Oryza sativa Japonica Group: one gene and its partners. The protein of the gene in region 1 interacts with the protein of each later gene in a pairwise test. Links are inferred from orthologs where the notes say so. Each region holds a gene or a part of one and is shown in the gene's direction. Other genes may lie near its edges.

Region 1 (10,588 bases):
CCTGGTCATCTAAATTTTATCCTTTTCCTCTCCTAAGTAAAGTTGAGTTTGGACTTGAGATGTAGTCGTAGCGTGGTAGTGTAGTTTATGGTTATACCAATCACTTAGTAATTTTATCATGGATTTGGAAAACTTTTAGGTCTGGTTTTATTTGTTTTATTTGTTTGATATTTTTAATATATATTATCTCCTCTAATTGTACAATAAGGATCTTTCAGGCCAAGTAATTAGCCTTTTGTGAAGACCATAATGCAAACCTATTCCAGATTTGTACCACAAACAACTTGGGACCATTTTATTCCCTCCTACAAAGCCTACCTAATTAATCTATGCGTAACCTTAAAGTTAACTCTAAACAAGTACAATGCCACCCATATATACATGGATCGATCGATCTCATTGCTAATATAAGCTAATAAGCATTATGAGAGGCCCCCCCTAGCTTGCTAGAATCTTACCATTTCTTTGACCAAGATCACGACCGCCCAAAAAGAAAGAGCTCCGTGACAAAGCTCGATTAGGCAGAGGTTAATTAACTATAGCTATACTTATACATTTTTTTCGCTATTAAGAAACTAAGCCGCTCGTGATGGCTTGGGGGAAGGCACGTGAGGGAGCCGTGCTCTTGGACCACGCATATTGCTACTTGATGGTTTTGTAATGCCCTAAGTACATCGAGGAGGGCTAAACAAATGGGCAGTAGTAAATTAATTTGGATGGGAAAGGGGGACATTTCAAACAACTGGCATATGTTTGCACGAGTATTTATTTTGGAAGATAGTGCCATTGTGTACGTTTTTAATGCCAAGGGTGACGATTATGTCATGCTACTGGTTTTTTAATTCCATCTGATGTTTTACCTCACGGTAATAATATAGCATAGTACTTTTACTCCATATATATTATATACTCTTATCAATAATACATCATCTCTTTTAAAATATAAACATTTTTAAGTGCTTATTCACCTATTCTCCATCATAATCAATCGTAACTATCTTTTATTTAGTTTTTTATCTAGTTTTATTTAACCAATCATAATTGTTTGTCACCTCAAACTTATCGAAAAATGGTTATGGAGTATGTATTGTGTTAGGGGTAAAAATAACGGAGAGTAAAAAGACAAAAAAAAATCGAAATGCCTTGGGAAAAAAATAACAATATTATCCCATCATTGTAGAATGATAGAGGCAGTAACTCTCGTGCGATGAGAGTGAATATATCTGCAGTAGAAATGGGCGTTAGGTAGCCCGCCAAACACAGCGGGATTACCGTTAATTGAGCTGATCTAGCACGGTTTACCCCTACTGTTTGGGTGAACATTCTCTCTCGCGTGCAGCTTGCAGCGAGCGAACGGAGGTGATATGGTGATATACAAAAGCTCTTCTTTTTACGGCCTTGATTTACCGAGTCTTTACTGAGTCCGGGCAAAAGAAGGCAAAGATCGAGAGGTTGGAGAAATTGAGAACGCACGCAACGTACCGGAGGCGAAAAGCGGACAGCGTACGGGCGTGGAAACCGTTCGGTGTTCCGATCGGGTCCCTGCAGGTCCATCCCTGTCACACCTTGGCGCCCGGCAAGCTAGGTTCTGTAAATTAAGGGCAGTTTTTAACAACGGCCACTTCTACTTAAAATCTTCATCAAGAAAGATGGTTCAGATTCAAACTTAGATTGAAATCAACTATAGTCGTAAAGGTTAGAAAAATAAATAGTAACCATAAGCTAGAAAACCCAATCTTTATAAATAAATACTGAGGCTGCATTCTTTGCTGAGAGTTTACAACTCCCCACTCTCGCTTTCCACGCATATGTTTTTCAAACTGCTTTCTATATGAAAGTTGCTTAAAAAAATCATATTGATCCATTTTTGAAAAAAATTAGCTATTAATTAATCACACATTAATGCAAACATCGTTTTGCATGCCGGGGAGGAGGGGTTCCTAACCCTTTCTCCCGAACACAGCCTAATTGTTTCTTAAAATTTTAAGCTCATGACCTAAATATAGGAGTTTAGAAATATGGGCTCTGGCGGTAAAGCTGCAGTTGAAATATATGACGCAACTTTATATATATATATATATATATATATATATATATATATATATATATATATATATATATATATATATATATATATATATATATATATATATATATATATATTACAAGTTTTTATATGGTGAAAAATAGACAGCTATAAATAATTTTAAAAATTAAGTTTTAAAATTTAACTTTTTAGCTATACGGTTCAGACATCAACCAGCTGAGCTGCCTCGTGATTTCCTTTCCTTTTCTTTTTCTTTTTCTTGAAAACATACTAATTCCACTACACCGCACTATTTTGTCAAACCCTTCGTCATAGAGCATTTAGGTCTTTTTCGGAACGCAGAAATTTTAGAGGTTTTTTTTAACATAAAACAGTTTAACTCCTCCAAGATTCCCGTGCAAAATCTTCCAAACTGAATGGCCCTTCAAGTTATATATTTCCTCTAAACTGCACATTAACCTTGTTTGAGATCCAGGACTCGTCCGCTTTGCTCGTGTGGTCTAGCGTGCTAATCTTCAACCATGATTGATACTCCTGCGATCTTAGCCTACGGTATTTCAGGTGCATGTGCGCAACAAATATATATACACAGATATGGACCGATCGATCCATGCATACGTGCGTCTCGCGTGGCTGCGATTCCATGGCCTAATATCTTAATTAGCGCAGGAAGATAGTACTACTACTTACTTACCAGCTAATTGCCTAATTTCCACGCCCAGTGAGCGGCTGGAGCTAAGCACGCAGCTAGTAGCTAACAAACTCATATATCAATCAAAACTGAATCTAACACAAATATACACTAACATATACTCCATAGTGCAATGATAAGAGATGTGTGATTCTAACTCCAAGGTACCATACCGTTCCCAATACATTCACATTTTCTTCTTAATTTTTTTTAGAGACGTCTCTTTCTCCAAATTTCATTTTCTAAAACTGAATCTAACACCAATTATAAGCTCTAGATAAGTGATATGAAGCTATCGGCATATCACACAGTGTCACTATGCTACGTACCTGCCGTTCAATGTGTAGGGAGGAGAACGATCGAACCCACCAAATGTTGGTGTTAGTTGCTCTTGTTGCTATTGTCAACTACCGGTTACATCTATCAGTTCATCTCTTGCACAAACACAACGCTTGTCCTGGTTGATCTATAGGACAAAATGGTGGTTTCGGCTTAGCTATTCCAGTAGTACTTTCTTCTCGGAAAGATAATGTCTTTTGAATCTTCTGGGTAGGAATCATAATCCTTCTTATAAATGTTGTTGAATCTAGTAGCATTTGGAGCAACTTTACAATGCAAAGATACCGGCACCCTACATTAAAGGTAAAAAAAAAAATCCCCCAGACAAATAAATCTTACCAGCTACAGTACCACTTACTACTGCCACAGCTATACAGTAAGATCTCTCCTTACCATCAATTTTGCCGGTGGTTAGAGCAGTAAAATGACTCGGTTAAAAAAAATATGGAGCAGTAGCAGTAAAAATCTTCAAACAAGTTTCCCTTTTTACCCCTGGGTGTTGTACTACTAGTACTTGGGGCTTGTGGCTAGCCTTTGCCCCCAAAAGGAAAACCATCCCGGTTTCCCGAACACGAGCCGCCCGCGACGACGACGCATCCGCCATTCCACCGGCGACGCGACGCGACGCGAGAGCACGCGCGCGCTCGCGCGGCGCGCCACCACAACCCGCACAGCGAGAGAGGGGGGGATGCGGTCGCTTGCTCCGGTAGCTGCGGCTGCGGCGGATGAGCGGGGGAGCAGGAGGGGGCAGTGGTAGGAGGTGGGGATGGACCTGGGTGGCGGGGTGGGGGTGGTGATGGCGGCGGTGGACGGGGGTGGCGGCGGGGAGCTCGGTGGGGGAGGGTTGCTCGGATCTAGGCTGATGAAGCACGGGAGGGGCAATGCGGGGGACCAGGAGCACGAATGGAGGCCGCCGGCGAAGCAGGCGAGGGGCGGGGACGCGTCCTCCGCCGCGGCCGCCGTGGCGGCCGCGGCGGCGGTGTCCGAGGCGGTCAAGGTGGCGGCGCCGTTCCTGCTCGGGGCGTCATGTAGCCCCGGCCATGGCGGGGAGCAGATGCTCAGCTTCTCGTCCTCCGCCTCGTCGTGCTCCTCCGGCGGCGGTGGCGCCGCCGTGGCCGCTGCGGCGGCGGCTGGCGGGGCGATGCCGCTGTACTATGGCACGCCTGCTTCTTGCTCAGGTGAGGATGGTGCAAAAATCTTTTCGTTTCCTTTATTTTTTTCTTCTTTCTGTTCTGCTCGTCTGATTCGATTTGGTGATTGAAAAGCTTTCTGCTCCTTTTCAAGTATTATTGCTGTTTGATTCATCTCTCTTTGTTATAGATTTATTTTCCATTTTTTATGCTACTTCTCTGCCTTTTTATTCGTTGCTATGCATCATGCTTGATCCTTGCTCACACTGGGATGGGATGGAGCTGATTTAGTTTTAGTTTTTGTTTTTTTCCCACTTGGTTCTTTTACTATTGTGGTTTAGATTCGGATTTGCATCTTGTATTTTTTTTGTTTCATATTTCTCATTTTTTTGTCTCCTTTTGACTAGATCACTGACTGCGAATAGCTCACTTCCTCTGAAATAGACCAGTTTATTATCTTTAGCATAGATGAGTGTGAGTATAAACTAGTTCTTGATTTTTTCTTGATACTGGAGTATAAGTTTCCTGTTCTTTTCAGTGACATCCACAAACGCTTTCTTGTCCTCATCGGTGCGGATCGGGCGTATTCTCTTTCGTCATACCTTTTGCCGAAACTAAAGGAGAAAGCACATATATGGATGAGAAAAGTCGTGATCTTTAGCATTATATCACTACTATTTCTACTACGTTTTTCTCACTAGGGAAGAAAGAAAGGTTAAAGTAGGAAAAATAAAAACATGCAAGAAAGGTTTCAAGTAAACAATGCGGCAAACGCGAATCAAGCTTTGCTGCAACGGATCGAACATGTGGTTGGTTGGTGACTTTTTATGCACACGCCACCTACAAATCCGTGCTGCTTCTGATCCTTGCAGCCACTTTGCTTCAGATTTTTGTGTCTTTTGCTTGCCCCTATCTATGTTATATCTTGCACAAGGATCGTGTTTAGGAAACACATGCATCTGGATGGTGGTCGTCGTCTCGTCTTCTATAAAGTACATGTGTGTTTTGGCTGTGCCTTGTTGGCTTGCACTGCCTAGCTTGTTGCTCATCTCCTTGGTGTATCTGGCTGCAGGATTGAGCTCAGTGAGCTTGAGCAGCAGCATGCAGGGTGCAATGGCCAGGGTGAGGGGTCCCTTCACGCCGTCTCAGTGGATCGAGCTGGAGCACCAGGCGCTGATATACAAGTACTTGGCTGCGAATAGCCCTGTACCACACAGCCTCCTCATCCCCATCAGGAGGAGCCTCACATCGCCCTACTCACCTGCCTACTTTGGCTCAAGCACATGTAAGCCAAGAAATGGGAAAGGAAGCAGATCAACCGAATGCTTTCTTGGCTTTAGTTCCTTTCATCATGGACTGATATTTATGATAAAAGCTGTTCCATTCCCTGATCTTGGTTGCATTGCCCTTGGTTGGGTTTTTGCTTTGCAGTGGGATGGGGATCTTTCCAGCTGGGCTACTCCGGCAGCGCGGATCCGGAGCCCGGCCGGTGCCGCCGGACGGACGGCAAGAAATGGCGGTGCTCGAGGGATGCGGTCGCCGACCAGAAGTACTGTGAGCGACACATGAACCGGGGACGCCACCGTTCAAGAAAGCATGTGGAAGGCCAGCCTGGCCATGCCGCGAAAGCGATGCCCGCGGCGGTGGCAGCAGCCGCTGCCTCTGCTACCCAGCCTAGTGCTCCGGCCGCCCACAGTGGCGGAGCTGTTGCTGGCCTCGCTATCAACCATCAGCACCAGCAAATGAAGAACTACGCTGCCAACACTGCCAATCCTTGCTCTCTGCAATATAGCAGGTAGAATGTTGGCAGCACTTTCAAGCTCCAAATATTGCTTTTAGTCAATCATGTAGCCAATGCTTAAGCTCAAGACGTCAAGTTTCGCTTTTGCCATTTTGCATGGATATTCCATTTCCGTACATATTTGCCTGCCGGCATCCACCAAATAATAAAGATAGAAGGTAATTTAGTTACCTAGTTTATTTAGCTACCATGATTGGAGATGAGCCCCAAAGATAAGCTATTAATCATTTACCAGCAATTAAACAAGTCCATTATTTACATTGCTCATCTATGTACTCTGGTAGCCCTAAAGGTACTTGTTTTGTGAGTAGAGTGGCCGTTGAAGAACTGCCATACTAAAGGAACAACTGCTATATGCTGTATTAACTACTTCACTAATGAATCACTTGTTGATCAAACTTCTACAGGGATCTGGCAAACAAGCATAATGAGAGTGAACAAGTGCAAGACTCAGACAGTCTCTCGATGCTGACTTCCATTAGCACGAGAAATACGGGCAGCCTGTTTCCGTTCTCAAAACAACATAATCCTTTTGAAGTGTCCAACTCAAGGCCAGATTTTGGCCTAGTATCACCTGATTCACTGATGAGTTCTCCTCATAGCTCCTTGGAGAACGTCAATTTGCTCACTTCGCAGAGTCTGAATGAACAACAGAGTTCAGTTTCCCTTCAACACTTTGTGGACTGGCCAAGGACACCTGCACAAGGAGCTCTCGCATGGCCTGATGCTGAAGACATGCAAGCTCAGAGAAGCCAGCTCTCAATATCTGCTCCAATGGCGTCTTCTGACCTGTCATCAGCCTCAACATCTCCCATCCATGAGAAGCTGATGTTGTCACCACTTAAACTGAGCCGTGAATATAGTCCTATTGGTCTCGGTTTTGCAGCAAATAGAGATGAGGTTAACCAGGGAGAAGCAAACTGGATGCCTATGTTCCGTGATTCTTTGATGGGCGGACCATTGGGAGAGGTTTTAACCAAGAATAACAACATGGAAGCAAGGAATTGCCTATCGGAGTCTCTGAATCTTTTAAATGATGGCTGGGATTCAAGCTCAGGGTTTGATTCATCCCCAGTTGGTGTTCTGCAGAAGACCACCTTTGGATCAGTATCCAGTAGCACCGGAAGCAGTCCTAGACTGGAGAATCATAGTGTTTATGATGGCAACAGTAACCTGCGGGATGATCTCGGTTCAGTTGTTGTAAATCATCCGAGCATCCGCCTGGTGTGAGCTTCTTGATCAACAAAAAATGCAACAAGATGACAGGCATGAGGAAACGATTCAATCAGTCTTCACCTTGTTACATATCGTTATGACGTCTTCAAGTGTGAGCATTTACCTCGGTGCTTTGTCATTCAGACTAATCTTGTGTTTTTGGTATTTCTGCTCTGTTATTTTTCCTTTGCTTTGTAACCTTCACCTTGGATCTTGACGTGATATGACGTGTGGTATGGATGGATTTGGTACTCCATTGTGGCATATCATCTTAAAATATCCCATGCTGTGACGTCATAATCGCGGATGAATGTAATCCGATCCTTGTCTTGCTTTCTGGTAGTATTCAATGGATTGTTTGTGAGCTGATATAAGTATTCCTCTTGACTTCTTGATGCTTGTTGGTAATTTTAGTTGGTCCATGCGGCATTCGTGTAGTGTTTCACTGGTATTTCGTGTACGGACTGTTCTGTTTGTCTCCCAATTATTGGACCATATATTCGGTGTATACTAGTTTTGCATAGTACTTCTACTTTGTTTGCAGTCACTAAACTAGACAAATGAGAACTATAGTTAGGTCAGTTTGGACGAGGCAATTGGGGTTTTTTTTTTTTTTTGGGGGGGGGGGGGGTCCTTGCGATTAAATCTGTGCAAAATTCTGACCAAATAGTTTAGCATTGCTTTTTGGAGCCTGAGGGCGGTCTTTCTTTTCCCACTATTATTGACAGAGTGGACTAGTGGTCTAATCCAGTTCTGATTGTACTCCCAACCAACAGCCTCACCAGAATACAATGATACAAATTTCAGGACCATTCACCACCAGCCTTTTCTTCCTCTTTTAACAGCTGCCAAGCCCTGCAAAAAGAGACCAGCCTCCCTCTAGCTTGTGTAACTACCCAATGTTCATCACTGCATGCATGCATCCATGGCCAGCCTCTACTCCACCACAGGCAGCAAGCAAGCACTGTGTGGTTTTCTCCCTTTTGATGATTTGCTCTACAGTAGCCTACAGTAGAATGATTCATCATCAGCAGCAATAGCAGCTAGCTAGGCTTGCAGTTGCACTGGTGTGCAAGATGAGAGCCCTGATGCCATTTGCCACCTGCTTTTTATGCACCCAGAAGACTCAAAAGCGATCCATGCATTGCATACCACACACATGGATGGATAGATGATAGTAGTGTTCTTCCTCCAGGAATGGGCTGACCTGGGTGACTCCTTGATTGCTCACCTGCTAGACATGTCAATATTTTTATTTTTTTTTCATTTTCTTGTGCTTATTTTACTTTGTTTCTCATGCCTATTCTGATTATTTGAAGGAGAATGTTCACTGCTGGATGCAAATTACTGGTTTTGTTTGGAGGCACAGAAAGGGAAAATTTTTGACACAGAGGGGTTTCCCCGTTTTTCCTGCCTGCCCGTCACGTGTGCTCGCTAGCTTGTGTTTGGACAAAAGTCGCGCGCGTGCAATACATTACTGAAAAGCAATGCACTCGTGTGTACTAGCAGTACAGGTAAAGAATGCTTCCGTGTTTATACTATCCGAATGTTTTCGTACTTGCCCCAGCATTAGTGTGAGCTTAGCCGCACTATCAGGTACAGGTTCACACCACTGCCTTGTGTCTTCCAGAAAACGCAGTACTAGTACTACGCATGAGTCACAGTGCGGCTGCATTTCACGGACGTTCTTGTGTTCACGAGACCGACTGCAAACGCCATTCAGAAAACGACCTGAACCGACGCCGAAATCGCCGAGCCGATCACGCAACGCAACGCATGCCAAAGCAGTAGTCGATCGAGCCGAGTCGATCGCTCGCGTTGTGTGTGGCGTTGCAGAGTACGTGTGCGCGCTGCACCACGTAGCGATCTCACGGGCGGAGCAGTGGGCATCGGAGTGAAGAGGCGCGAAAGGAACAGCAACGACACGTCCACGCCTCCTTGCTCACATGCCAAGGTAAAGATTACGTGCCAAGGTCGGCCACGGTCGCACGAGAGCTGAGTACTTGATCGTCGCGTATAAAAAACCTCGACGGCGTTAGTAAAAAACTTAACTCGTCGATCGATCGATCGGAGTGAGCCGGTGAAACGGGAGAAGAACACGAGATGAGCCGGAGGAGCGGCGTGGCGACGAGCCGCCGGACCAGGCGGGCCGCCGAGCAGGAGGTGCAGCCGCCGCCGCTGTTTGCCGCGAACCCGATCTTCCTGTGCGAGGACGACGGCTCGGCGGGGCGGCTGATCAAACCGGGCGGCGGCGTACGCGGCTACGGGCCGGGCTCGCTGCACGCGCTCGTGCGAGGCCGCGGCCGCGGCCGCGACGTGGCGGCGGACGACGACGACGACGACGGTGGCAACAAGATGCTGCCGTTGCCGCTGCCACCGTGCAGGGCCCACCGCGAGGGGCGTGGTGGGACCCGGGTTCCCACGGCGTGGCACGTTGGGCCCACGATCGTGGTGGGCCCGCATGGCGCGGTGGTGAGGATCCGTGCGCCGCCGCCGCCTCAGCAGCATGACCCGTTCCTGGCCGCCTACGTGGCGTGCACCAAGGGCCGCGCCGGCGCCGGCAACAAGAAGAAGAAGAAGAAAGCCAAGGCGGCCGCGCGCGGCGGGTGCGGCATGTGGAACGGGTGGGCGTCGGGCGCGAGGTACGCACGGGTGATGTCGTGCAGGCACGGCGGTGCCGTAACCGTGCTGCAGGGCGCCACTCCTCTTCCCGCCGTCGCCGGCTATGCCGAGTCGCCGGCGCACCCCACGCTGGACCTGTCCCGCCTGCCGGCGGTGCTGCCGGGGAGGAGACGGGTGCACAACTGAGGACAGATCGTGTACTCGTACGTGGCCGGTGCATGTGTACATTGATACTACTGCCATGACGTCGTGTGCAAAGAATTAAGAAAGTAGTAGTCCATATTTGCCCAAATATTGTCAGTCCAAAAATATAATGGGCCGTATCAGCCCTAAAAGTAAAATTTTAGCCCAAACAGTAGTATGGGCCGGGTCACAATTGTCAAAGCTTTACAACGCAATAAAATCTGGATGTCAATGTCATATCATATGAAGACCGAGTCAAATTAGCCACGTATGCGCCACGACAGCTAAAATCACCGTCCAAACATATTGCACCGTTTTAGACAGTTGAGGGACCTGTTGTATCTGATTTTTTGGTTCAAGGAGGAGAATGTTAAGTTAAGGGATCTCAGATGAACTTATTCCATAAAATCTCGTTTATGATTCGTTGGGCCACGGATTGCGTAGGGCGCAAAGTGCACCGCCGCCGCTACATCCGAGGGTGCTTCGTGCCTTCGTCTGCTCGCTTCATCTGCTGGGCGGTGGCTCGGCTGCTCCGGCTCCGGCTCCGGGGAGAATCCGGC
Region 2 (10,563 bases), about 230 kb from region 1:
TTTCTACACACATAAACTTTTAACTTTTTTCTTCAAACTTTCAATTTTAGTCAAACTTCTAATTTTAACGTGGAACTAAACATAACCTAAGGTTTGTGAAATGAGTCGGTGGCCTCATTGGCGGAACCGGAATCTTCTTAAGTTTAGGACAAAGCTAAAATAATTTACATAATTTTGCTCTTTACTTTCCAAGTCTGGTAATTCTAGATCGTTAAAAATACGTATATAAAAGTTTTATTTATAAATTATTTTTTATTTACAAGTATACCGTTTAGCTTATTTTTATAAAGCGATTGAAGCAGCTAACAACTGAATCCTGGTGCGGATGGGACGGTCAAACGGACCACGGTGCCCCTCGGTCCGGCAGGGGGTCCATCTGAGCTTCAAATCCATGTCAGCTTTCAAACCCTACTAGCTGGCTATGGCTTGGCCTTCTGCCCTTGATGATCATCACCTCATCTGACACCACACGTCGTACTGGAGTACCATGCTTATCGATCATCTAGCTCCATCCAAGGTTCATGTGGGGTTGATGCATATGTACTCCTAGTCCTTGACACCAGTTGTTTATGTGCTGATATGATCAATGCAATTCGAGGGTTTATTCGGAATATAGGACTTGTTTGTATCTTTCTAGCTATTAATAGCCCTCTGAAATCTTGTTATTTAGAAGTATTAAACGTAGATTACCGATAAAACTGATTTCATAACCCCTAGGCTATTTTGCGAGACGAATCTAATGATGTATATTAATCCATGATTAGTGGCTGCTTACTGTAACATCATTGTAGCAAATCATAGATTAATATACCTCGTTAGATTCGTCTCGCAAAATAGTCTAGAGGTTATGAAATGGGTTTTGTCAAAAATCTACGTTTAATAATCCCAAATAGCAAGATTCCGAAGGGCTATTAAATAGCCCTCCGGATCCAAGCAGGGCCATAGTAGTATGCACTAGTATTTCCTCTACGCTAAAAAAAATAACTTATCCTTATACAGCAAATTTTGTCTAGATTTCAAATTTATTATACTAGAAGGAGATTACATCCGTCCTAGCTAGATTGAGTTTTTTTTTTAACGTAGGAATTAGTATAGATTATAAAAACAATAGGAAAATCATAAAATAGGATAAAAACACGTAGGAAACACATGGACTCTTAAGGTAGAGTTGTAAAAACACGTGTTCAGACAGAATAAAATAAGAACATAGGAAATGAATAAAGATATTGGAGTGGATGTCAACTTTCCTTTGTTTATCTGTAGAAACCACATGAAAGGAACTTTTTTTCTTTTAGTTCTTCATGGGATCAAATCCCTTGAAACAAATGGTTCTACCGTCGTTGAATCCTTCATTTTTCTCAAATCCGAACGGGCCCTTTGATACTTCATACTAAAAGTGTGGTATTAGTATGAGTAGAGAGAGAGAGAGAGGGGAAGGCTGCTGCTAATATTGTCCGAAATGTTCACCCCGTGAGTGAAACGCAGGGCAGTGCTTACTGCTGGAGTGGGACTCGTGCCGTCCCTTTTGGAGTTGCCCGCCTTATCACCCAACTGATCGTGCTTTCCTGTTCAGTTTGAGGAGTAACATGCGGAGGAACTCACAGTAAATGGCACTCTTTTTATATACTCTCTCAGTTCCAAAATATAAATATTTTTAAACTTCGACGCAGTTTTTGAGATGCTACTTAATCAACAATATTTATAATGTAAAATATTTTAAATAAAAAGAGTTGCATATTATGATAGTTTGTTTAATGATAAATCTAGTAATATTAATTTTACGTAATTAACTTTTTTATTTTTTTTACTAGTAATAGTTAAAGGTAAAAATATTTGACTTACCACTATGCTAAAAATGCTTGTATTTTAAGATGGAGGGAGTAATGTTTATTGGTTTATTTGCCCACAAGATGAACAGTTGAACGCGCACTCATCATTTCTTCGTGGAATATTTTGTCACTATGAATTACTATTTGATAAATATCATTTGGTTTTAAACTGCTCCTTAATTAATTTCACAAACACTGGTACCAATGTGATATCATGTCGTGATAGCAAAACCAGGTGTTTCACGGGGAGCCAAAAGTGAGATGAGTGTGACATGTTGTAGGGTTCTCCTTGACTTCCTTTCTTTCCACCTGCTGGCGTAATATAGTACTCTTTGAATTATACATAAGCTAAAATTTAAATTTTAAGTTTAATTTTAAAGTTAATTTTAAGCTATTTTCAATGTAATTTTTTATGTTAACTTTTAAATTACTACGAACAAACATATAAAAGTCTTACCTACAAACTAAATTTTATTTTCTAATAAATTGTTTTAACTGATTACTACGTACTTCCTGTATACTTCATTCTTCAAAAAAAAAAAACTCAACCTAATACTTGTATACTAGGACATAATCTACTACGTACAGTGAATCTGGAGAGGCTGCCTCCCTCTATCCCATCCAAATACAAGAAGAATCTTAAAACTTTTTTTACCAAACGTAACACCCAGAGCACGCAGTAAAGTGCGGGTAACTACCGCCTGGGGGAGGAGAAGGTCAGGTCAGACAGGGCGATTTTTCTTTTTTCTTTTTAACCTCTGGGGTGAGGTCGCTGAGTCAGATGACGCAACACCAGCCATTGGGCTCTGCGTGCAGGTCGTCAGTCAGCTACACTGGCTATGCATTGCATTGCATGAGAGGGCGTGTGAGATGGCAACAGCAACAGCATGTGTCTGCAGTGACTGCGTGCAGCGTGCGGGGGCACAGGCTGTATGTAGCCTGGCTGTAAAAATAAAAAAAAAAAGTTGTTGTTTTGGTGTGTAGCGGAGCGGCGGTGTGGCTAGCGGTGAAAAAACCGAGCGCGTACGACAAAAAGAGGTGAAAATCTCTCTCTCCCCAAGCGTGTTGGCGCTGAGTTGGAGTTGGCGGTTGGTTTGGGGGTTGGGGTTGGGCCGTGTTGGGTTGGTTTTGCGGCGCGGGACGGGTATGCCGTAGTATGCGTTATGCCGTGCCGTCCCTCTTGACAGGCCTTGTGGTTAGCCCCGGACCCTGCCAAATTCACGGTGCAAACCCAATTACCAGTGTAATATGGTTTCTCCCATTTGGAAACTAGTTTACCCTCCACGTGTTGTGGAATTTTATACATTGAATTAGACCGCTAGGACATACACTCACCGTTCAAAAAAACCAAAAAAAAAACAACATAAGGTTCATTGGACTTTGTATATTTATTGTTCTAAGATATGTCACATTTTATCATAGGTTATTTTTTTTAACGGATGGGGTAGCATTTTCTACTCTAGTCCTCATGTTTTTTTTTCTAAGTTTGTATAAAAAAGTAGACATTTTTTACTAAATGCCCAAAAAATTCAGAAATATATATAAAATTCCCCCCTTCTCCCTTCTATGGTACAAAGATCCCCAGATGTGTAGGCCTTTCCCTTTCTATGTGGCATCGACTCTGCACGACAAGGTCTGTAGTATATGGATAAGGAATGAGCTCCATGGCGGCATGGGGAATATGTAGCCGACGATGGTGGGCCTCACAACAACGTCTATGATAACATGCCCTTCTTCTCCCCTCTAATGTGATCATTATCACTTTCCCAATCGTGTTGGTCACGTTGCCGCTTTCTTTTCAATTTGGTTGATGCCACTTAGACTCATGGGATGGGGTAGGAGGAGGACAAGGAATTAAATATGTTTTGGGGACGCAATTTTAACAATGTGTGTATGTGTCATTCGGTCGAGCACAGATTTCACGTCACGTACGTGTAAGCCGTAGCCTAGCAAGGAACGTAGAGAAAATAAGGGACACCCATTCTTGGGCGAAACGAGGTTGTGCAACATGGGAGAGAGGAGTCCGACCTCAATGTGAAGGTCCTATCCTCGACATTAGTTGCTTTCCATTCATGCCAACTTATTCTGTGGACTCTACTTATGGTTAGATTGCACAATGAGACTTGTGTCCTTCTATGGCCTTGGGTCTAACTGACAAGTGAGGCCCAACAAATATCGAGCCTTCATTGGTACTACCCTCTCCCTCGTATTTCGTGTGCACGCTTTTCAAATTGCTAAACGGTGTTTTTTTTTTTAAAAAAAGTTTCTATACGAAAGTTACTTAAAAAATCATATTATTGATCTATTTTTGAAAAAAACAAATATTTAATAATTCACGCACTAATGAACCGCTCCGTTTTCCGTGTATACTGTGTGGGTTGGTATCACGTACTTCCGAACACAGCCTAACACAGCTGCCATCCATGTCCTGGCTACTGAGCAAGAGTTGCCTCAGCCCTGTTGAAACTTGAAAGGCAACCATGCTCTCTTCAAAGCAATGAAAAAGTCTCATGGGGACATGGATGTAGCCGAGCTACAGGCAAAGCTTCGACATGGCGAGTCCGAGCTAAGCTACTCATCACTTCAAAGTAATGTGAATGCTTTAACAGTTTTGCTCCGTTTGAAAATGCAGTTGTCTCTATGAAATTAAGTCTAATGGTTAAATATAACTTTTAGGGGTGTTTTGCTTCTGCACCTTACCTTTTTTTTTCAGTGCCAAAATATTAGCCAATTTTGGCCCTACTACTTTTGCGGTAGGGTATAAGTTATATTGACCATGATTAGCTTATTAATGTAAAGTTAAAGTAATTGTTAATCCTTATCCTGGTCAAGTAACTGCAACAAGATAAAAATGAAATCGATGTGGCCCAATTTATACGATCTTAAAGAATGTAACTCCAGTTTATCTCTGGAGATTTTCTCTCTCAAAAAAAAGTTTATCTCTGGAGAGAGCCAGCGAGGAAAAAAATTGATGAATTGCAGGCAAGACTCTATAAGGAGGATCCATTTCGCGATAACTTTGGGTGTTTACCACCATCAACAACTCTGATTAGAATGGAATTAACGTTCTTCTTTTCTTTTTCCCAGTTGTATTTTGTATTTCCATGTGTCGTATGGAGGCTACATATATAGCACATCTGTACAAACAAGCCACGCCGTCTCCTGTTGGAATTCTTCTCTGTACTCGTGACCGACGAGTTCTTCGACACAGAATCTGCTGTTGTTTTAGTACTCCAAAAATCTATCCTGCCCACAAGCTCATCAGATCATGCAGTCCCTGAACTTGAAAATTGCCGTGTTGACAACCATTGTTAAACCCTGAACATGACATATCAACCCAGACATAAATACTCTTCGAGCGTGCAGCCATAATTTTGTTTTATTTTTTTTTGACAACCTGCCTATACGAATCAGGCTTTATTAATTTTATCTTTTTTCCCCTATGTGTGGTGGTGGTCCCAATTCTTTAATGTGCAGGTGTCCAAGTATAGAAAGTTACTGAGCTTTTATGGTAGGTGTGGTAAAAAGTTGCATGGTAAAAACGATCCACTAAATTAAACTTTGTCACCAAAACTGAAGAAAAAAAAACTGAAGAGAAAATCTCTGCAACTGGTTCACCCTCTTTTTAAAGAACTCCACTCCAAAACCAACGAGCAAAGCGAAAGGAGGAGACGGCCAACCAAAACCCTCCTCCTCTCATCATCGCCCAAAACCCCCCAAGAAACCAGAAAGAAACCTCTCCTGCTCCTCTCTCTCTCTTTTCACCGGCAGAGGGAGAGGAAGTGGAGAGACAGAGAGGAAGAAGCAGAGGGAAGAAAAGAAAAGGAAGGAGTTTGCTGCAGCTGTGAGGAGTAGAGGAGGGGGGAAGGGTATAAAGGTTTTTGATTGGAATGCAGCAGCAACACCTGATGCAGATGAACCAGGGCATGATGGGGGGATATGCTTCCCCTACCACCGTCACCACTGATCTCATTCAGCAGGTCATGATCCCCTCTCCCCAAAATCTCTCCCATTTTATCGTCTGTTTGTCTCTCTCTTGTTTTTCATTTCTTGCTTTTTGTTTTTGGTTCCGTGATCTCTCTTCTTTCCTTTCTTTTTTTTTCTCTTGAATCATTTGTATCAAACTCTTTTTTTCTTCGTTCTTGATTCGTTGGTTGGTCTGTGAGTATCTGAAAAAGAAGTTTTATCTTTTCTTGTGTTCCCCTTTTCTATTTCATTATGCGTTTATGCTCATGCTATCTTTCTTGTTTGCTCGTGGTTGTTGATCCTCTTTTGTATCCATTGAAACATCTGGCAAAAAAAAATCTGAAATGAACTAAAGTTTCCCTTCTTTTTTTTTTCTCTGTTCTTACATCTTGTTCATCTGATCTATTTCGCTTTCTCCGTTAATTCCCAACATGATTTGTCGAACAACACGTTTTTTCCATCATATTTAAAAAATAGTTCTAGGGCAGCCTTTTTTTTCTTTATTTTGTTTGGTCAAATAGAAAGGGCATGATCCTCTTATATTCATGATGTTGATTTATCTTCTCGTCCTCTAGTCTTCTCCCTGTATTCTCATGTCTTCAAACATGGTCCCTCACATCTGATTTCCTCTGCAGTTCAAACTGTTGCTGTCCATTTGGTCCTTTTTTTTTCTTTTCTTTTGCTCTTGCTGCTCACATAGTCACATGATGCGGTGATTTTTTACATATCCTTTATCCCCCTCTCCATCTAAATCCTATTTTTAGCTTGTTTTGGTTGGTGACTTGTGCCAATGGTCGTGTCTCCCCCACCACTCGTATTTGGCAACTAGTAAACATGCCAGACCTGTTCCCTGCATCTGCCATTGCAGACCACCAATAAATCTTGGCCCCCTTTCCATGTAAATGTATCATGTGCAATCGTCCAACAAAAGGGAGCAAGAAATGCTGTGAGATTTACATAAATATCTCCTTTCCATATCCGAAATCCAATTTGCAATCTTTGATTTAAAAAATATTTCTTTTTTCTTCAGAAGGACATACCATACAAGATCTGGTCCTTGTTCATGTTGGTGAGAAACTGGGAATGTAGGTTGGCTTGTGCTGTACTAGAATGCCACAGGTTGCAGTTTTGACTGTTAGACCCCTAAAAGATGTGAGCTTTATGGCTAAAGGCCGATATAACAACCAGGGGCCCGGTCTGCTTGGCCTATTCTTTGATAACCTGCTTGCATGCTATCGTGCCAGTTCATGATTGGTCCTCAGTTTGAGATGATAGGCTGGCAATCAGATCTTGTGTGGTTCTGCTCTAGAATCAGGACGCCAATCTCCAGTCTAGTACTTCATTGGTGCTAGGAGTATATTCATGCATATGTCATTGGTGATAAACTGATAGTACCAACCAAATCTTGTGCAATGAACTGCAATATATTCAAGGCATGCATGCAGTACTATCTTTTGTTAGTATTGATGATAAAGACTTTGAAATGTAATGACGTATTAACATGCAAAGATTCAACCTTGAAACTGTGCAGTATCTGGATGAGAACAAGCAGCTGATCCTGGCCATCCTTGACAACCAGAACAATGGGAAGGTGGAAGAGTGCGCTCGGTGAGTTTGATCTTGATCTCCCTGTTATCATGGAGTGCTGTGAAAACTCTGAAGTTGCTGTTCTTTCTGTAGCTTTTGCTCTATCAGAGATGTCTTGTTTGGTAATATAGTCTTTAGGCTTTGTTAACTGCAAAAGGAATGTCTAGCTTTTGTTCAGTCAGGGTTCAAGAAACTAGAATCTACTAGGAGTATTCTGGATAAATCAACTAATCAAGTAGTACAATGTTCTTTGGTGAAATATTCCATTAGGTGTTACAGGTGATTCCACAATGATGGTTGAATTAGTGTTAACTCATGGGCAGGTTAATACTATACCTAGCACCCTCCTGTTAAATAAATTATTAGTGAGTGGCTTGTACTAGAAAAGTACTGTTCCTTGTTCAGTGCACTATTTCTGTTGTGTGTATTGTCAATGTCACAGAACAGTTTGCTGCCATCCTCCACAGTATCTTTTCCAGCCACCGCACAGAAGCAAACTCGATCCAAAGCCTCCTCATTTTTCAATCATCATCATGTCACGTAGTAGTAGTAATACGAGTTGCATGCATGTTCATGTGCATACGCTCTCCTGTTGTTCACTGCTGCTGCTATCTTTCTTGGATTGTACCGGGAAGGGAACACATCAGTTTGGAGCTTTGCATCGACTGAGCAATCCACCCACGTTTTCGCTTGCGGCGCGGCGTTTTGCATTTGCCCTACAGGCAGCTCACAAGCTGACCATCCTCGCGTGTCTGTCGCTGCAGGAACCAAGCTAAGCTCCAGCACAATCTCATGTACCTCGCCGCCATCGCCGACAGCCAGCCGCCGCAGACGGCCGCCATGTCCCAGGTAATTGTGCTGCTGGCGATGATCAGTGAGTCGTGTTTGTTGGTGTTTGATTTGAGGATGAGTGAAGTCATCAATGGCGGCTGCATTGTGCATGGATGCAGTATCCGTCGAACCTGATGATGCAGTCCGGGGCGAGGTACATGCCGCAGCAGTCGGCGCAGATGATGGCGCCGCAGTCGCTGATGGCGGCGAGGTCTTCGATGATGTACGCGCAGCCGGCGCTGTCGCCGCTCCAGCAGCAGCAGCAGCAGCAGGCGGCGGCGGCGCACGGGCAGCTGGGCATGGGCTCGGGGGGCACCACCAGCGGGTTCAGCATCCTCCACGGCGAGGCCAGCATGGGCGGCGGCGGCGGCGGCGGTGGCGCCGGTAACAGCATGATGAACGCCGGCGTGTTCTCCGACTTCGGACGCGGCGGCGGCGGCGGCGGCAAGGAGGGGTCCACCTCGCTGTCCGTCGACGTCCGGGGCGCCAACTCCGGCGCCCAGAGCGGCGACGGGGAGTACCTCAAGGGCACCGAGGAGGAAGGCAGCTAGGTGGTTTAACTTAGCTATAGCTAAGCTAGGCAGCTAGGTAGCCCATGAGGAGGGTAGCACCGTGGTAGTAGCAGTAGTAGCTAGGAGACGGCGGCAATGGCGGTGACGGTGACGGCGATGTCGGTGGCGGTGGTGGCTAAGGTTTAGGTTTGGTAGGTCGATCCATGGAACCTGTGTGGTGGTGGTGGCCTGATGCATGTTGCATTTGGTATCATGCAGAAGTCTCACTTGTTTTGGAAAACGGATTGGCAGGTTCGTCTAATTAAGATGTGTTATTAGTAAGGGAATATATGTGTGTGTTGCTGCACTGCAATGGATGGGTTGGTTGGTTTGCGAAATCTCCCCGTGCTGCTGAATGCGATCTCTTTGGGGACATCCGATGTTGTGCTGAATCAACTGATCTATACAGCAGTGCTTTTGCTGCGTTGCCTTGCATCAACTGAGCTCTTGCATTGCATTAACTGATCTATACACATTAGTACTCGGTACTAGGTGAGTTGCAACATTTAGCTGTGTGCCGTGAGCGAGATGGAGCGAGCGAGGCAATGGCTCCGAAGTGAGTGAGTCAAGAGAGAACGACGTACGTGTAGTGTTTGATGGCAAGGGCAAAAGAAGACTAGACGAGGGGAGTAGTTCATCTGGGCCATCTGGCGACAGGACACAGGTTAAGATGGCTGGGCGGAGGACTCGTCGGAGTGGAGGAAGAGGAGAGGGGTTGAAACAGAGATAGTGGTGCCGCGTGGGTCGGGTTGGGTTCAAGCGAAGCAAGAACATGCATGACCACCTGCCCGTGCCCAATACTTCCAGAGCCCCACTACGGTGCTCTCTACTCTCGACAATAGCCTCTGCTGCATGGATCACTGGCGGTGACGACGGGAGGAGAACGACGTCAACGGCGGCGGCGACGGGAGGATGACGCCAACGACGGCGGCGATGGCTGGAGGATGAGGACGATGGTGGTGGCGACGGGAGGTCGAGGACAACGACGGCGACAGCGACGAGAGGATTTTAATTAGGGTCAGGGTTTCAGTGTAGTTTTCAATTTTCTGAAATTTTATTTTTTTTCGTGATTTTTTTCTTTTTCGCATGTGGTCCGCTTAAGCGCCCGGATTTTCACATGCGCTGGCCGCATGAAAAAAAAAATCCTATTTTTACTGACCTTTGGATGCATGCGGGTCATCCTTCTGCATGCAAAAATTGATTTCGGTCGAATGAAAAATTCTAATATGTAGTAGTGCATTGCATGTGTGATGGATATGTGGGCCCGGGCCTCACATTCATTGTTACAAACGATAGTATTTTCTAACTCATGCATGTATCCTCTAAATTTGAAAAGAAAATAGGAGTAGGAAAATAACATCACTACTATCCACTGTATAAATAATTTCAGAAGTATGTGATAAAAATGAGAGGAGAATATTTTACTAAAAAAAAGAAGAGATCAATTGTTAGAATAATACAAAATGCCCCATATATTTTGGAAGGCATAATTGCTTTATTTATGGTGGCCGCAATCTTTCATATGCAATACCTTGCTCTAGCATCAATGGTGGAGTCACCGCCCAGCTAGCCCGGACGGCCACCGGGGATCACTGGCGAGAACACCATTAAATTTTAATATTGATAAGTAAATTGATGATGAAATTTCTATAGTAAATACTAGTTATACTGAAGTTTGCTCGGGCTAAAATTTTTTTCTTACTATCATTGTCCGGCATCATGGATTCGAAAATACATTTTGAGAGTTTAGTGACATAGATGATACACCTGCACAAATTTAGATATCGCTCGTGCCCTCC
Region 3 (10,588 bases), on another chromosome or scaffold:
TTGTGATGTAAATTGTAGCTCTTCAGCAACGAATATGGATGCATTTATATGGTTACTTTCATCATGTTTTCTTCATTGTCAGTGAGGAAAAAAACGTTTACACTTTTTAGTAAGTTTTTGTTAGAAGAAAAAAGGGTAAAAATGAGTTATTGAGTACCTCCTCCATTTCACAATGTAAGTCATTCTAGCATTTCCCATATTCATATTGATGTTAATGAATCTAGATAGATATATATGTCTAGATTCATTAATATCGATATGAATGTGGAAAATGCTAGAATGACTTACATTGTGAAACGGATGGAGTATTGGTTAAAAAGTGATTGATAGATTAAAAAAAAGTTAATTAGCTTTCTATCTTGCTAGGGTTTGTTGTGCTGTAGTTTTTCCCGTTGCAACGCACGGGCAATTTTGCTAGTATAGTTTAAAATTTCAAAAGAAACTAATGATTTCATTGAAATAAAAAATGCTTCATTTTCATGTTAGCACCAAATGAAGGGCATATGTATAGATGACCAAAATGCCCAGCCCACGGAGTGGGGTTTTGGCCCGGTCCAGACACAGCACGGCCCGACAAACTGGTGTCGGGCCCGTGTGACCGTGTCACCCCGGCTCGACCATTGGGTTGTGCCTAGGCCTCTGCCTTGACACAGTGGGCCGGCTTGGCATAGCACGGTCCAACGATTAGGGAGTTAAAATAGACTTATTCCTTCCATATAGGCACGACCCAAAAGATGAGGGTGGCCAAATAAACTTATTCTAAGGCGGGAGCACGGTGGGCTTGCCATGCCTTCGGGCCGACACGACCAGAGTCTTATTGGGTCGTGCCTAGGCCGTTGGCACAACATGTGGGTAGGCATGGAACGACCCGTCGTGTGCCTGGTCATGCTCGGCCCGGGCGACCCATTTAGGGTGTGTTTTGGTTGGGCTTTTCAACCTGCTTTTGCTTTTGCCATCCAAAGGGCCCAAAAGCCATAGCTGCTTTTGCCCAAAGCCGACTTTTGTTCTAGTACAAATCAAAAGCACCTTTACCCCCTGCTTTCACCTGCTTTTGGTGGAAAAAATTACCCACCTCTGCCATTATGAAAAAAAAAACGGTTCGCTAATCTATTCCCGTCTCCTCTCGCTTCTCAAACGCATGCCGCAGTAGGGGTGGAGCGGCGCATCTAGGTTTGTGCGCCGCCCCTACCCTCTGGCCGGCCGATCGCCGCCCTCCCCGCCCGACGCCGTGCCGCCCTCCTCGCCCGACGCCAGCGGCGCCTCCTCCTCGCCCCACGCCGCACCCTTCTCCGACCACGCCCGACGCTGCGCCGCCTCCTCCCCGCCTGACGCCGCCTCCGCGCCCGGCTGGTGGTGTCACCGGTGCTGGCGCTGGCCAAGGTGGCGACAAGGCAGCTGGCGCTGCCTCCCTGCATGACATCGTTGTGCGCCTCACCGTCGCCGTACTACCACTCCCTGTGCCTCTCCTCCGCCTTCCTCGACCTCACACCCCGAGGCATGATGCCGGACTTATACGGCACCACCGCCGCCCACGAAGCTAACGACGAGCCGGCCACGAAGCTGACAACGAGCCTTCCTCGATCTCGCAGACCATGGAGCGGTGCCGGAGATCGATGTTTGGAGCAGCGCCTCGGTCCCCAACAGCGCGTCGCTCCTTGCGGACGAGGAGGAGCAGCCCCGACTGGCCTCGGTTGCCCACTCCGGCGAGCCGCCTTCCCACATGACATGTGTGGTCCACTCGTCAGGGGAGAAGCTTTTCCAAAAGCCACCTGTGTAACCAAATGAGCTTTTGGCTTTCTCACAGCTAATTTAGCTACTTTTCAAAATGTCACAGCCCACAGCTGCTTTTGCAAAAGCCACAGCCCAACCAAACACACCCTTAATCATCTATAGGCATAAGTTAACCACTTTTAATATAATGCTACTAGTATCCGAAAGAGGGGGGCACATGCCCCTTTTAACGCAGTATTATGGTTAGTCGTCTAGAAAAAGTGGTATAAGCCTATGCATATTATTTTGCACGGTAATCTTGTCATAATTTATTACTATGTTCCAACAGTTGTAGATTTCATATCTTAAATCCTTAGCTTTTAGTTGTGCAATAAAATTATTTATAAATTTTTTCATATTTTTGTTTATGATCGGCCCAATGTTCTTCTATTTTGTCTTCATTTGATGAAATAAAATTCAATGCTCAAAGCAAAAAGATTGCTCTTATATTTGATACATTTTCGCTAATCATAAAATAATCTGGATATACCATTCATGTCCCCTGAGATAAATCAAATGAGTGTTGGTGCATGTAACACTTGTTTATTCTCAATTTTCATCTATTAGATGCATGAGGCCGTAGATGCATGAGGCCGTGAGGGATGCTATGAAATTATTTCCAACTACAATAATAACTAGGAGATACCATAATAAGGTATGAATTATCGATTATACTCAAATGCTATTATATTTGGTTGAATGATTTTACATGTTTGGTCCTTCCTATTGAGGTGTTTTGAGTTTGTGCAACTAAATGAACTCTAATACGTTGGGAGTCACGTGATAGAGATTATGGCATGAAGGGTTGACTCTGAAAGTTTAGAAAAAATTGTGTGTATTTCTTGCAACATTTTCGGATAAGATAACATTTATAGTTTTCATATTGTTTTTATAATTTTTGAATTTACACTACAACAACTATAATATTTAGAAATTTTTGATAGATATATATTTCAAATAATCAAAATGGCTCTCAAAAAAATTAGTTCAATTCATATGCATTTCCTAGAGACACTTTGCAAATTGACATAAATATTTGTAGTTCATAGACATTTTAGATGCAATTCCGTTGCAATTTTTAATACATTCGTAAATTATTGATAGAGACATACTTTTTCCCTCTAGTTTCTAAAATGATTTTCCTAAGATATTCCCAGATAAATAAATCAAATTAATTAAAGACAAGAAGTTAACACCTCCATAAAAATTGTAAAATCTATCTTGTCAGATAGTCTACATCCTCGTCATATTGCTAAGGAGTTCCTTCTTCTCACTCTTGGGATCGAGATAAGTCGTTACATATTGCTATTGGCCCAATTAGAGGGGGCATATTGCCCCTTATGACCCAATAATATTTAATGGAGAGAAAAGAATGGGAGCACATGCCCCTGTTAACATAATGTTATTTTAATGTGGCTATTTGTTCATTCATTCATGTCATGTTAAATAGAAAAACAATAGGTATAGTAATTTATTACTAGCAAGGTGGAGCTCAATATAAATGGCAAAAGCACAAGATATATCTTATATGGTCTTGTAAAATGTTTGGTAGATAATTTGAATATAAAATGAAACATTTTAAAATGAAATTCATTCCTTGACTTACATATCATTTATATTAAAAATATTCCCTTTTATTGTATGTTGAATACCCTTCAGCTTTGGTATCATTCAGAGAAATCACAACCAACATGCATAGAAAGATAGTTGCATTGTTTTTAGATTATGATAGCACACTTTCACCAATCTTAATAGGTGAAAGCAGCAAGCTATCTCAATGGAGAATGAGCCACATCATCTAAAATATCAAGGACCATTGGATGTAACTGGTAAAAAAAACATCTTTGATCATATACTATTGTACCAATCAAGAGGCTCATGATCTATGAGAGTGGAATCCATTTGGAGCAATCAAGAAGCTTCTAGAACACCTTTGTTCTAATTTTTTAACACTATATTTGGTTAATTAATCAGCTGATCAAATAAAGAAAAATAAATAAATGAAGCCTCAACCTTGAATTCATATGGTATTTATTAACCTCTATGATTATCCATAATCAAGCAGTTTGTGGCAAGATTAACATGATGTTGGGTCCTACATATGCTTGACTCAATATTGAGTTTAAAAATATATCTATGTTTACGTGCGATTTCATATGTTTTCAAATTACACTGTAGGATACCAAGTGTTTGAAATTTATCCAAGGATTCATAAAGTACTATTTGCCCCCATGAATCTAACCTCTCATTAAAATTTATTTTCATCCTACTCTCAACTACCGTCTCAACTCCAACCATCCCTCGCTAAATGAGTAATATAAGTCTTTTTTACTCAACCTTAATATTTGTTTAAAAGCCTAAAAATCCTTATATTTGATGACAAAGGGAGTATTCTCACGGATCCACCCATGTAATTGTTAAGATCAATCGCCCACTCATATATATAGTTATGCTAGCGCTTGCACAAAGCGCGACTGAGAGAGAGTTTATGTTACCCGAGTTAAATTACATGAGCATGTAGCACACTTGGTAGTCCCACTGGAATTTGCTTATCCATATAACATTTGGTTATTTCAACACAAAATAAAACCATTTGATGTGTGAAGCCATGAGGAATGTTGCATGGTTCTACACTACTTTTGTTTTTAGTGGGAGAGGGGTCCCGTGAGAAGGTATTATTAAGCTACTACCCTTACTCTATTTTTTTAATGGTTGACAACTTTTTTCCACTTGAAAATATGTGACATAATAAACTTTGAGGTCTGAGATTGAATTTACTAGCAACAATTTTTTAATCTAAGGTCGAATTTATTATCCTCCTCTTACCTCCTCTTATCAAATATAGGTTACATATTGCTTGAGAGCTTTATATCTATGTCTAACGATGTAACTTACAAAGCTATCTAAGTGTGCTATTGTGTAACCCGCAATTGTAATCGGTGAACTTTATGTCCATATTTTCCTAAAAGATAATGAGTGACTACTATGTTGTAACTTGCACTCTTGAAGTTTGAAAAATTCAATTAACCTTGTATGTAAACCTCTGCGATGTTTAGAAAAAAGAAGAGACTACACCAACTAGTGACATAATTGATAGCCGTGTTAAAACAACATGATGATGTGTCCATAGACTCTAAAGATCATGCAAATCCCAAATGCAAACTAGAGTGCTATCCTTAACAACGGTAGAAATGATTTATATAGAAGTGAATACAAGATTATATAACTTTCATCATTAACAAAATTTGCCTTAACATAATGGTTATGGCTCTTGGTCAAGGACAAACCAGGATACAAATATTCCGTTTGAACCACCATCCAATTATGTTTGGATCATCAACTATAGTCACTCCAATAGGTCCATCATCTTTTCGCTAGGTGAGACTTATCCAAGCAATCTATTCAACTAGAGAAGCACTATAAGAAAAGACTATTACTATCTAGAACTCACATGTAACAAATTTAAAAATCATCATGCCATAACCAAACCTCATGTTTTTAGTGCACCAAACAACACTCAAGCGCTCATGGAATCAACATGGATTATTTAACCAAAAGTCGACCCCAAGATTTGCCAGAACCGAGGTGAGTGAAATATTAGGAGTGTTGGGTACAAATCAATTGACCATATTGCTAATATAGCTGGTTAGTTCGGAAAAAAGATGCTATGTCTTGGCAACGATAGCGCTGGATATTAATATATTTTTCTATAAAGTTGGTCAAAACTAGAAATTTTTTTTTGACTCAGAACATAACTAAAACACCTAAGAATTACAATATGTAACAGAACGGAGATAGTATTGGATTGAAATTAGAACTCAATAACAACATATTGAGATGAAAGCAAACACGTTCTTTTTCAATTTTTCCTACTCCAACTTTAGAGCAAGAGAGTAAAAGCACTAAATACATTGCATTGAAGTCATAAATGCACGCCTTCGCACACTAGAACTACAATTAACACACATGTACGTTTTCAATACGAATTAACGAAAATATTGCCCAATACAAATTTAACGAGGACACATATGATTTATTGCTCACTTCCGTCTACTTGTGTGCTAGAGGTTTGCACGCGTAATTAATCAATCAATAATATACCCTCTTCGTCCTTAAAAAAAACTTAATCCTAGCAACGAATCTAGACACAGATTCGTTGTTAGGATTGGATTCCTTTCGAGACGGAGTAGTAGTAATTATTAAAATCTTTTGAGCAAGAGGGGTATACTAGTAATTGCACCTAATCCTAGGAGGAGATGAAAAGGGAAAGCCTTCAAACCCCTCTCCTTCCAGATCCATTCGCGAGATTACTAGGGAGCGAATGTTCGCTCCATTGCTGTTCCCAAACCCTCCAAAGTCCAAACCCCTCTCCTCCTCCTCTCCAACGCCATAAACCACAGAGAGGGGGAGAAGAAGTGGAAGCGTGAGCCGCCGCAGCCGCACGCGATGCAGCAGCAGCCGATGCCGATGCCCGCGCAGGCGCCGCCGACGGCCGGAATCACCACCGAGCAGATCCAAAAGGTGCCTCCTTTGGGCCCACCCCCCCCCCCCCCCCCCCCTTTTCTCTTCCGGTTCTTGGCCCCGGTTCGGGTGCGCCGCCCTCGCTTCTTGGGAGGGTTTTTTTGGGGGGCAAAAGATTTGATCTCTTTTTTTATTTTTGCCCGGCCTCCTCGAATGGTGCTAGGTTTGCCAGCGTTCGATTCGATTAGGGGTGGGTTAGGGTCTTAGGGATATTGGATTGGTAAAGATTCTGGCTTTTTTGATTAGTTTCAACTTAGTTGATGTGATTTGAAGAGTATTTGACGGGCATTGGTTGAAGTTGGTGTTGTGAGCACCGCATGGTTGGCGTGCTCGTCATCTGACTCGATAAAGAACGACTCGTTTGGGTTATCCGGGCGGTAGAGTGATCTGTAATTATATGGTGATGATGTTGGTTTGATAGGAGATATGCTGACTTGTTCTCGGTTTATTGGAGAAGATGTATCATTTGTGATAAAAAAAAACTAAGTTATGAACACCTGGAGTACAACTTTTGACTAGATTGGGCTTGAATCTTTGCTTGTGTAGCTTATGTTTATTGATTGCAATATTTCTACTCGACATGGAACTATCCATCATCCATGACCACTCCAGCCGGAACTGAACTTATGTTTTTTTATGTGTTCTTTAGTATTCACATCATGACAGTCATCAGTCATTGTCTATAAAGTATTATTCTATGCCTGAAACATTTTCCTGCATTAATATCAACTTGGCACTTGTATGGAACCATTTCTTTGTCTTAGTGCGATTGTCCTGTTCTTTTGTAGAGTATGCTATTCTATAGCAGATTTTAGTTATGTTTCTGTTCGTGGATGACTGGGTTTATTGGGATTTGTTGAAGTACAGGTATACTCCAGTCCTTGTGGGCTTTAGATGTAGTTTAAAACTTACAACGGAGAAAAAAAAGTTATGTTAACTGACTTTCAACAATATCAACTTTCACTTAAATTCTTAAAGAAAAAACTCATCGCTTTGTTAGTTGATTTCTGTCTCGTTTGTTAATTTTCCAATCTTTCAGGCGTTGCTCTTTTCTTTTGGAGCTAATAGCTGTGATCACCTAGCAGTTCATGTCTTCATGTCTAAATGGCAGATTTGTATTGTGTGCTCCCACTAGATTCAGACATGCATGCTTTTTTCTTCTTAAGGCTGGTGATGCATATTCTGCTTAAATTGGGTCATGGTTTGCTCTCTTGTACTAGAATAAGCTAAAAATAGCGCACTAATGTCTCTCTGCTAAGATGAATAAAATAGCAGCTTGGGGCCGTTTTTTGAACCACTTTACTTTGCAATCCATATTATTAGGGTGCTCATGCTTATACAGGTCATATTCTGGCATACATTTTCACTTTGCATACTTGTCTGAATGATATTTTCCTTATTATACTTGGATTAATGCCCTGCACCTACTAGCATTGTAACTTGACTTTCAGATGACTAAATAATCTCTTGTGCTGACTTTAATCCTTATGTTTCCTGCAAACTGCATAAATTGTAATAGTGCATTTCTAAAATTACTATCTTGTTCCTTATATATTTCACATGGTTCGCCCATTTGCATTTACTGATTCTGTGGTTTCATTGTTGTAAATAACCATTTTCCCTTACAGTCTTAATTCATTTTTGCAGTATCTGGATGAAAACAAGCAGCTTATTTTGGCTATTTTGGAAAATCAGAATCTGGGAAAGTTGGCAGAATGTGCTCAGTATGTAAACGGTCTTTTATGAGATTTTACGTTATGACATGATCCTTTTTGTGTGTTAATATTAATTCATCCTGCTTAGTAGTCTCGTAATTGCATTGTTGAATAATTTCTCGTTAACATTAATATCTTCCTTTTTTGTTATCTACACTCAGTCCCTCACCATTAGTTAATTGTATACAATTATTCATTTATTGTGCTGCCGTATATAACAATGAAATTGCCACTCTGCTGTTGTTATTTCAAATTTGTGTTTATGCATTGAATAAACAAGCAACTGAAAACTGCTGCGATATCCAATGATATTTTGGCCTGGTTTCTTTCTCAGCCGTTAGGTTTAATATTTAGAAGATCTATGTAGCTCTTGTCACTGATGAAAGCATACCATGCTTGGATGGTTCAACACAGAATAAACAGTATTGCTAAACAGCAAAACATGGATCATTCAAGTATGGCTTTTTGTGCAGTACGAGTTATAAACTGCAGCTGAGTTCTTGTTTTGTACCATCTTGAGGCTTGAGCCACTATACAAAATTAATCCTAGAAGGGTCCTGGCATTGTGGCATATGCAAAGTTCATATGAACACTCTATGAACTGTAGACAGCAAATATGATAACATCTGTTTTTTAAATGATAATGTTTGATTAAATTTCTATTTTCAAACTTTTAGATGATATGTTAAATTGTTAATTATCTGACTATAATACTGTTTTTTGGTATCTAATTATATAAGTCAGGGTTTTTTTATGATAATTTTACTTAGATTTACATAGAGTATAGACCTTCATCTCCTGACTCTTCGGGACGTGTACTGGTGTGGATTTTGACACAATCCATGCACTACGGTGAACGAAGTATTACAGTGCTATACACTGAACACATATTGGCATACAATTTCGAATATAAACTGGTTGGTTCTCACATGACTAGTTTATGTAGCGTTGCCTATAGTGGTTCTTTATATTCAATGCAATAAAAGCATGTATTCGAAGACCGTGTATCTTTCAAAGAATATGCAAGATGTATCATCATTAGCAACTATATGTACATCCTCACTCTTCAGCCAATATATTCCATGTTTGATTTGCATCTTGTGTCTTCTGCTGCCCAAAGGATCAATTGCTTTTTTTTTGGGTGCAAACGAAGCAAATTACCAGCATGCTAAATACCTAGGAATTTCCACTTGCAATGGCTGAGTGTCAAGCTGGCAAGCATCATGTTAAAATTTATGAAATCTTATTTCATCTGGTGTCACTTGATATCTCCATAACCAACTGGGAAGTGGGAGGGAACTATCATGTTATGCCGTGATGATAAAGCCCGAATCACCCTTCATAATCCGTCGGAATAAAATTCAAGTTAAAGCAACATTCTGAAATAGCTCTAACTGTTAGTTCTATGTGGCAGATGATTATTCTCCTTGGTAAACATCAATGGAAAACAACACATTTGATCTTGCTAGGAACATGGAAATACATGCTTTGTGCAGCACCTAACAATTTTGAACTGTCAATATGCATTTTGTCATTTTAATTCCATGAAGTTAATTGTGTAAAATGATTCCTAGCTATTTGGTCTTACCCGTTTCTTTTTTTCTTTGACTTTAGATTGTAACCATGTTGGCTTTTGCCCTGTGACTGGCAAGAACAGTATTGCTGTCAACATAACATGAACAATATTTAGTATGCTATTAGTGCCATTAGCATGCATGCTATTACCTATGCACCATGCACGTCACCTGTGCACCCATGGAATGTGTCGCTAACTAGTCACCTACCGACCTCACATTTGTGTTTCTTTAGGAGTATTGGTGGTAATATGTGATAATTAATCCAATTTACTTTCCAAGTTCCCATTGCAGTGCTTGTATTAATGAATTTATTTTATATATGTGCTCACCTTGTTTCCATTTATGAATTATTAGGCGGGGCTTAATAAGTTAATATGTGATAATTAATCCAATTTACTTTCCTTTACACTTCATGTAGTTATGAATTTATTTGATATATTTACTGAAGATGCTCTTCATATTGCTAAACCTATTTGCCTATATGAATGTGACTATGGACTTCCTTCTGGAATAGATGGTGAGAAAATCATTTAATGATGGTAGTTTTATCCCCAATGATATTTTTCAGGTATCAAGCGCAGCTTCAGAAGAATCTCTTGTACTTGGCTGCAATTGCTGATACTCAACCGCAGACCACTATAAGCCGTCCCCAGGTTCGTAATATTCCATACATCTACACAACATCATTTGTTCTGCATATACTCATTTTATCTCCGCAAACAGATGGTGCCGCATGGTGCATCGCCGGGGTTAGGGGGGCAATACATGTCGCAGGTGCCAATGTTCCCCCCCAGGACCCCTCTAACGCCCCAGCAGATGCAGGAGCAGCAGCTGCAGCAACAGCAAGCCCAGCTGCTCTCGTTCGGCGGTCAGATGGTTATGAGGCCTGGCGTTGTGAATGGCATTCCTCAGCTTCTGCAAGGCGAAATGCACCGCGGAGCAGATCACCAGAACGCTGGCGGGGCCACCTCGGAGCCTTCCGAGAGCCACAGGAGCACCGGCACC

The links. The genes of interacting proteins can lie anywhere in the genome.
Region 2: the proteins of growth-regulating factor 6 (region 1) and GRF1-interacting factor 1 interact in binary tests that used the Arabidopsis thaliana proteins (3 or more experiments, as listed by UniProt). The link is inferred for Oryza sativa Japonica Group from reciprocal best matches to the Arabidopsis thaliana genes GRF1 and AN3.
Region 3: the proteins of growth-regulating factor 6 (region 1) and GRF1-interacting factor 3 interact in binary tests that used the Arabidopsis thaliana proteins (3 or more experiments, as listed by UniProt). The link is inferred for Oryza sativa Japonica Group from reciprocal best matches to the Arabidopsis thaliana genes GRF1 and GIF3.

Annotation. Positions count from the first base shown.
Region 1 is NC_089037.1:30,699,416-30,710,003, forward strand, and holds growth-regulating factor 6, read left to right. Parts: upstream 1-3,843; coding exon 3,844-4,255; intron 4,256-5,279; coding exon 5,280-5,492; intron 5,493-5,638; coding exon 5,639-6,002; intron 6,003-6,415; coding exon 6,416-7,238; 3' UTR 7,239-7,600; downstream 7,601-10,588. Other genes in the region: uncharacterized LOC4333991, read left to right, coding at 9,327-10,031. UniProt on the Arabidopsis thaliana protein: Transcription activator that plays a role in the regulation of cell expansion in leaf and cotyledons tissues.
Region 2 is NC_089037.1:30,926,068-30,936,630, reverse strand, and holds GRF1-interacting factor 1, read left to right. Parts: upstream 1-5,484; 5' UTR 5,485-5,719; coding exon 5,720-5,809; intron 5,810-7,326; coding exon 7,327-7,403; intron 7,404-8,146; coding exon 8,147-8,231; intron 8,232-8,332; coding exon 8,333-8,764; 3' UTR 8,765-9,201; downstream 9,202-10,563. UniProt on the Arabidopsis thaliana protein: Transcription coactivator that plays a role in the regulation of cell expansion in leaf and cotyledons tissues.
Region 3 is NC_089046.1:19,343,485-19,354,072, reverse strand, and holds the start of GRF1-interacting factor 3, read left to right. Parts: upstream 1-6,061; 5' UTR 6,062-6,216; coding exon 6,217-6,291; intron 6,292-7,938; coding exon 7,939-8,015; intron 8,016-10,151; coding exon 10,152-10,236; intron 10,237-10,306; coding exon 10,307-10,588. UniProt on the Arabidopsis thaliana protein: Transcription coactivator that plays a role in the regulation of cell expansion in leaf and cotyledons tissues.